Linked DNA regions of Neurospora crassa OR74A. The protein of the gene in region 2 interacts with the protein of the main gene of each other region in a biochemical or structural test. Links are inferred from orthologs where the notes say so. Each region holds a gene or a part of one and is shown on either strand. Other genes may lie near its edges.

The links. The genes of interacting proteins can lie anywhere in the genome.
Region 1: of the proteins of prk-10 (region 2) and pph-3, one has a biochemical effect on the other in vitro, tested with the Saccharomyces cerevisiae proteins (2 studies listed by BioGRID). The link is inferred for Neurospora crassa OR74A from reciprocal best matches to the Saccharomyces cerevisiae genes SNF1 and GLC7.

The regions. Positions count from the first base shown.
Region 1 is NC_026503.1:2,384,662-2,388,410, reverse strand, and holds the start of pph-3 (serine/threonine-protein phosphatase PP1), read left to right. Parts: upstream 1-924; 5' UTR 925-1,887; intron 1,888-2,035; 5' UTR 2,036-2,193; coding exon 2,194-2,373; intron 2,374-2,476; coding exon 2,477-2,878; intron 2,879-2,958; coding exon 2,959-3,258; intron 3,259-3,320; coding exon 3,321-3,349; intron 3,350-3,438; coding exon 3,439-3,454; 3' UTR 3,455-3,749.
Region 2 is NC_026505.1:1,660,066-1,663,814, reverse strand, and holds the start of prk-10 (protein kinase SNF1), read left to right. Parts: upstream 1-902; 5' UTR 903-1,382; coding exon 1,383-1,798; intron 1,799-1,883; coding exon 1,884-2,719; intron 2,720-2,987; coding exon 2,988-3,629; intron 3,630-3,686; coding exon 3,687-3,749. Other genes in the region: NCU11040 (DUF92 domain-containing protein), read left to right, coding at 1-255. UniProt on the Saccharomyces cerevisiae protein: Serine/threonine protein kinase essential for release from glucose repression.

The DNA of each region.
Region 1 (3,749 bases), on a different chromosome or scaffold from region 2:
GAGCAAAGAGGACAAAGCCGGAATACCAATGCAAAGTAACAACAAGGCGACCAAGAAGGCATTCCCGTCTTTGCTATTGCCGTGTACATACCAGGTAAGGTGTCACACTCACAGTCCACTATCTCTACACAGGGAGGGGGAAGTTGGAGGGTTGGGAGAGATGGAAGTTCCAGGCGACACCCACCAACGGGATCGCAAGCGGCTTTTAGGCGAGCCAATCCCAGGCCTAGACCTGCCAAGGAGGGTCCGGTGTTCGGGACTCTTGCTAACAGAAGTGCTCGCAGTTGCGGGGGAAGGCAGCGCAGCTCCTACCCAGTCGCGTTAGTGAGCAACATGGACCGACCTATCATCATACCTGCTTCCCCAGAGGCGAGTGCATGCAATTTTTCTCGAGCCAAGTTGGAAGGGCCGCTTCACTGCAACTGGAAAGGGCACAAGGGCTCGGCCAGGATCTGACGGAGATTCAGAGCGGGCGCGAAACCTAGGTAGGTACCTACCTACCTGGCTGGCAACCTAGGTACCAACTACCTAACCTAGCTCACCCAATCTGAGCCTGTCCTTGTTTGGGTTATTTCAGCCGTAGGTAGGTATGTTTGAGTTTAAGTTGAGGGTTGTTCTGGCCTGCCATCGCGTCGGATGTTTCGAGTTTTTTTCGTTCCATGTCACTGAGTGCTGTCCTGTTCATTCCATCGATGTGGATGAGAGCCCAGTCGGCGGAAAAGATCACAACTGCACCGAAACCCGACCCGACCGGACGCCTGTTGTGGTTGTTGTAACGATAACCTGACTGGCAGGCACCGAGGTGACCTGACCTGGGCTTGAAAGAACGCGGACCTGGACCTGGACCTGCCTGCCTACCTCTACCTACTGCTCTCCACTGCTAGTAGGTAGTCTGGAAGCCCTGTGCGTTTCATTAGCTGCGTTGCGTGCGTGTAAATCTTGCTGCTCCATCGGCCCAGTAGCCCAATCCCTTCTCTGCGTCCCCGTCCAGTCCAGTCGCCAGTCTTCTCTACCTACCTACCTCTACCTAGCCCATCGCCCGGCCGGACCCCCCCCCCCCAGCAGCGGGCAGCCCAAGTGGAAGCGTCTGCGCTTGTCCGTCTCCTCCCAAAAGTCTCTAAGCAACCACCACCGACGTTGATTTTTTTCTCCCGACGCTTTCTATCCCAACCAAAACAGGGCGACGTCTTTAACCACAAAGAACGCGCATTTTCAACCCCACCCTGGCGATAGAAGTCCTATTATCATAGGCATCATCTCGCGGTATCTCGTCTTCTGGCCTCCGTCGCTCAATTAGACGCAGCTTTTTCCAGCGACCCTCCGACCGGCCCAGCGCTCTGTACTGCACCTCGCTGCAGCACTTTGCACTCTCCCGGGCAGTCCATCGACCAGTTTTTCCCGACCGTGGTTTTGGCAGTGGCAGTGACAGCCTCTCCCGCAGTCTCAGGACTACTTGAACTCCCCTTCTACACCCGACCTTTTCGAACCCAGATTTTCGACGACGACACGGCGTTTTGCCCCAGCCCCGTCCGCGCGACAAAAAAAAAAAAACACGTTACCTCACAAAGGACGATCAGAGACTTCTGGAGCCGTCTCCTTTTTCCATCATTGCTAACCCTCTTGTCGCCGCGTACTACCGGACCGATTTCTTCGCAATTCCGACGAGATTTGCTTGCGCTTGCTCTAGACCGTTCGCACCTCCGCCAAACCCAGTGACGATTTACTAAAACCAAAGCACAACATTCGGTATCCGAAAGAATACCTATTTCCAGAAAAAAAAAACACCAAAAAAATCACCGCTTGCTGTATTCCCAAGGAGAACGCGTTCGCCTCTCCAAAAAAAAAAAAACCCCCAACAATCGCTTCTTGCTGGGATCGCTTCTGAGCGTAAGTTGATCAACTGCCGTTACATTGCGGCTTCCCAGTCTCTGCCCAGCCGTCGCTCCTCCTTCATTTTCCCGCCATCGCGATCGCGTGCGGCAAACCCCAATCAGAATCTGCGTCGTCATTGGCAATGTCTAACGTCTTGAATTAGTCGTTTAGCTTTGCAGAAGTGCATCTACCCCAGTTTCCTACTCCTTACGCGTGCCGCTCTTTTAGACCCGTCCCATCCGACTAGCTGGGGTTTGTCGGTCGTTACCGTGACTTCGAAAACCTGTGCGCGGTATCTCTCCGGTTGGTGAGGATTTTGCAATGGCGGACCATACCGAAGTCGACCTCGACTCTATAATCGACCGCCTCTTGGAGGTGCGGGGCAGCCGGCCTGGTAAGCAGGTGCAGCTGCTGGAAGCCGAGATTCGCTATCTCTGCACCAAGGCCCGTGAAATCTTCATTTCCCAGCCCATCCTGCTTGAGCTCGAGGCTCCTATCAAGGTAAGCATTGTGTTCTTTCTATTATCCCTTTACATAGCCTCGGCATGCGCCATACTGCCCCTTCGGCAGTGTTCATAGCTGACGTCGTGCCCCACCTCCCTAGATTTGCGGCGATATCCACGGTCAATACTATGATCTCCTCCGCCTCTTCGAGTACGGTGGCTTCCCTCCTGAGGCCAACTACCTCTTCCTAGGTGACTACGTCGATCGTGGCAAGCAGTCCCTGGAGACCATCTGCCTGCTCCTCGCCTACAAGATCAAGTACCCCGAGAACTTCTTCATCCTTCGTGGCAACCACGAGTGCGCGTCCATCAACCGTATCTATGGTTTCTACGACGAGTGCAAGCGGAGGTACAACATCAAGCTTTGGAAGACCTTCACCGACTGCTTCAACTGCCTACCGATCGCTGCCATTATCGACGAGAAGATTTTCACTATGCACGGTGGTTTGAGCCCGGATCTGAACTCAATGGAGCAGATCCGCCGAGTCATGCGACCAACTGACGTACGTTACACCATTCATGCCCGGGCTTTCCGTTTGCTCAGGCTAGTTGCCGTAACATGAGACACTAACAATAGCGCCAGATTCCTGACTGCGGTCTTCTTTGCGATCTCCTGTGGTCGGATCCCGATAAGGACATTACTGGTTGGAGCGAAAACGATCGTGGTGTTTCCTTCACATTCGGCCCGGATGTCGTTTCTCGCTTCCTCCAAAAACACGACATGGATTTGATCTGCCGTGCTCACCAGGTTGTTGAGGACGGATATGAGTTCTTCTCGAAGCGCCAGCTCGTTACTTTGTTTAGTGCCCCCAACTACTGCGGCGAGTTCGACAACGCTGGTGCTATGATGAGCGTCGACGAAAGTTTGCTCTGCTCTTTCCAGGTATGTTTTTCTGACTTTGGCAAGCTCCGAGACCCTTGCACTCTTGCTAACCCCCTTTGCAGATTCTCAAGCCCGCAGAGAAGAAACAGAAGTACGTTCCCAGTCTCAGATGAAGCAATTCAAGACCCCCAAGAAGCACAAGTAAAGAATTTTCTTACGAACACACCCGTTTTCCTTTAGGTTCGGCCGCCGATAAACGTCTGATACTTTCGCCCGCCCGCAACGAACATGAGTATCTTACCGTCAGCTTGTCTACCGCCGCCATGTTTCCTGATCGCCAGGGCTCCCAGCCATCATCCCGTCTGCCGTCTGTTCCGACCACTTCTTTTGGGGAGGTCCTCGCCCCTCCTGCCGTGCCAACGAAACGAAAGCCACGTCTGCCCGTCCTGTCTCTCCATCCGTCCGGTCTCCACACAACTCGAGAGGGTAGGAAGGAAAGGGAATCTTTTTATATCTCGGGGGATGAATAACGAACGACCTTTTCTTTTTCT
Region 2 (3,749 bases):
TCTGGCGAGGGGACGGATGCGGTGGAGGATGTCGGCGCCGCTGCCGGTAACAAGTACGATTCGCGCAACAAGCAGCGGAGGTCGAGCTTTGGAGACGAGAGGCCGTCGCGAGTGGTGGAGAACGGCTGGGACCTGCTTGATAACAATGATGTCAACTTCTTGATGGCATTCGGCATGAGCGTGGGAGCGATGGCCGTCGCATCATGGTATTGGGGAGTTCCTCTGCAGTCTGTGTTGTCGCCATGGTGGGCATAAGGCAGTCGCAGGTGGGTGGTGAATGACTTTCGCTAGAGATGTTGGCTAGCTAAACAATTCCATGGATGACATATGAGAGCTCAGTCGTCATTTTGATTACACATTCAGATCACGGCTTTGGGTGAAGCTTGGGCAGGTACCTTGCTCGCTATCCGGATGATGCTAACCAAAAGCCGGCGCGATTGACCATTGAGGTTCTCATTGTACCAAACATCCACAATTCAAGACCAGCGATCCGTACATGGGATCGAAGACCAGCCTGGCTTACAATTGAATCCTTTGGTATTCTATACACGAGAACGTTGTATACCTAGTCTTTGTAATTTCGACTTGCTACCATTTTGGGCCATAATGTGTGGTAGACACGTATAGGCGTACACAGGGCTTTTATCGGCCTTGTGACAATGGTCCTGTGACCGAGCCGGATGACCTCCCCTCGGCCAGCCAGGCGGTAGTAACGAAACATGAAGTAGGTACAGTAGCTGATGAATGATGGAACTTTCCGTCCGGCTCGGCAGCCCCGTTGTACCTAAGTTAAGGTGGCCGCTTTCCGGAGCGCTCTGACCCCGCGATGCTGCCGTTTGTCGTCCCTGCATCCTTCCAACTCCTCCACTAATTCCCCCATTCTTCACCCCAGATCCCCGCCCGACTCCTTCCACCCCGTTTTCCATTACACCATCTCTGGATTGTTGCCCCGCTGCAGTGTTCGCTTGTCCACTTCCTCCTATGGAACCTAACAGCTCCAACACCCACTTGATTGCCCGCTGCGCTGCCCGTCCACCGCGATTGCTGATTCTTGTCGGCTGACAACCGAACACCGACCGAATGCGCATCCGATACATGATGTTCTCCTGAACAAAGCAAGGCGGTACCTTACATCGACCGACGACGCTACAACACAGACAGCCCACCGAGCCTTGACTTGACGTCCCTAGCTTCATTAGCTCCAACCTCTTGGGTCTGTTCGCTCCCGCTCCCAGGATTCAATCGAGGGACCATCGCGGTTCCTCCATTGCCCATTCACCCTCTTCACCAGCCAGTCGGACGACATCTGGTCAGACGAAACGAACGACCTTCCATCCGCGATTCAGTGTCGTCCACTTGTGTTGCAAGCGACTCCGTCTGCCATGGCACAGGCCTACGATGACGAGGAGCTTTCCATCTCCTTGTCTCCTTCTCAGATCCGAAGTCGCAATAAGCGATCCGGCGATGGCGCATCAGGCTTCGGCCCCAGTACCGGCAACCTCCACGAATACGGTCAACACGGTCAGCAATTACACCCTAATATCAACGCCGTCATGGCCGACGCACCCCTCCGCGACAAGATGCGCACCGAGCAGCGCATCGGTGCCTATAACATTGTCAAGACGCTCGGCGAAGGCAGCTTCGGAAAGGTCAAGCTGGCTGTCCATCGCATGACCGGCCAGCAGGTCGCTCTCAAGATCATCGCCCGCAAGAAGCTCATCAGCCGCGACATGCAAGGTCGCGTAGAGCGCGAGATTGAGTATCTTCAATTGCTAAGGCATCCCCATATCATCAAGCTGTAAGGCACCCCTCGACGCCCATGCGCAGCAGACGTTGGCTCTGGTCCTTTACGTACACGTTGGCTAACCCGGCGCGCATACCAGGTACACCGTTATCAAAACACCAACCGAGATCATCATGGTGCTAGAGTATGCCGGCGGCGAATTGTTCGATTACATTGTTCAACATGGAAAGATGAAGGAGGACGAAGCCCGCCGCTTCTTTCAGCAGATGCTATGCGCCGTCGAATACTGTCATCGTCACAAGATCGTTCATCGCGACCTAAAGCCCGAAAACCTCTTGCTGGACGATAATCTCAATGTCAAAATTGCCGATTTTGGTCTTAGCAATATCATGACCGACGGTAATTTCCTCAAGACCAGCTGCGGCTCTCCCAATTACGCGGCTCCCGAGGTCATTGGCGGCAAGCTTTACGCAGGACCCGAAGTCGATGTCTGGAGTTGCGGTGTCATTCTTTACGTCCTACTCGTCGGGCGCCTCCCTTTCGACGACGAGCATATCCCCAGTCTTTTTGCCAAAATTGCGCGTGGAAGCTACATGGTGCCGACCTGGATGAGTCCCGGCGCGGCGTCACTAATCAAGAAGATGTTGGTTGTCAACCCTGTTCAACGTGCCACAATTGACGAAATCCGCCAGGACCCGTGGTTCCTCAAGGATCTGCCGGCTTACCTTCACCCTCCTGTTGAGGAGTTCCTCAATACTGGCGTGGACCCCAACAAGGCCATCAAGGTTAGCGACATTGCGCCAAATGCCCCTCCGCAGGAACAGGAGAAGTTGCATAATGAGGTCACGGAGAAGATCAGTAAAACCATGGGCTACGGCAAGAGAGATGTCGAAGAGGCCTTGGAGGCCGATGAACCCTCGGCCATCAAAGATGCCTACATGATCGTGCGTGAGAACAAGCTGATGCAGAGTAACCGTGAGTCTACGCTCCCTCCCAGCAAGTCTTTTGTCTTCTCATCATTGGAACCTATCGATCCCTTTGCGATGCTATACTCGTCCGTTTTGTCCTTCTTTCGCAGTTGATTTTGCCACGTCCCATCCTCCTTCGGCGTCCATTTTACACTTGCCTAGTGGTGAACATCGCTTGACGCAAAAAAAAAGCAAATCCTTGAGTTTGCGACCATCGTCCTTTTGGAGCAACACCAATGAGGAATACCAGGATACCCTACTAAAAACCGATGAAGAAATTCCAGGCCTCACGACAGAGGAGTCTGTCCCGAGTCCGCTCCATGACCCGAATATGTCATCAGCTCGCTCGATCGCATCCGTTAGCACAGCAACTTCACCGCGGCCATATGTCAGCAAGATCGGTATTTTGCCTAGCAGTCTTCCTACCTACCACAGGGTCTTTATGGAGCGAGAGAAGGCCAAGGCCGAAGGTCTTGAGCCCCCTGATGCCATCCCCACCATCGTTGAGCCGGCAAATCAGCCGCGCAGCCAAGCTGAACAAGAAGAGACTATCCGAAGACTCAAGCCACATTCGAGGAGTCAACTTCGCCTTGACGAGGCCAACAAGCGCCCACAAGGACTTACCCCCGTCCACCCGCCCAAGAAGAACAAGCCTGCTCGATGGCAATTTGGTATTCGATCCCGGAACGCTCCTTGGGAGGCGCTGGTGTGTATTTACAAGGCGCTAAACAAGCTTGGCGCTGGGTGGATTGTCGATGAAGACTACGAAAGAGCCCACCGGGACGATGACGACACTGATGACTATGATGGGCCTAGTATCGGGTCCCGCAAGAAGTCATCATCCAGCATGGATCCCACCAAGACATATAGACTTCCTGCGGACCCCTGGCATATCAAGATTCGGTGGACAACTGATAGTGAGTTTCCGGTCTGTCCGGCCCAAATGGCAAAGTTTGGCTAACATTGGCTGTCAGAGCTCAAAAAGCATTCGGTTGCCTCCGGCCTCAGCGAAGCAGGAGAGAACACGCATGTTAGCC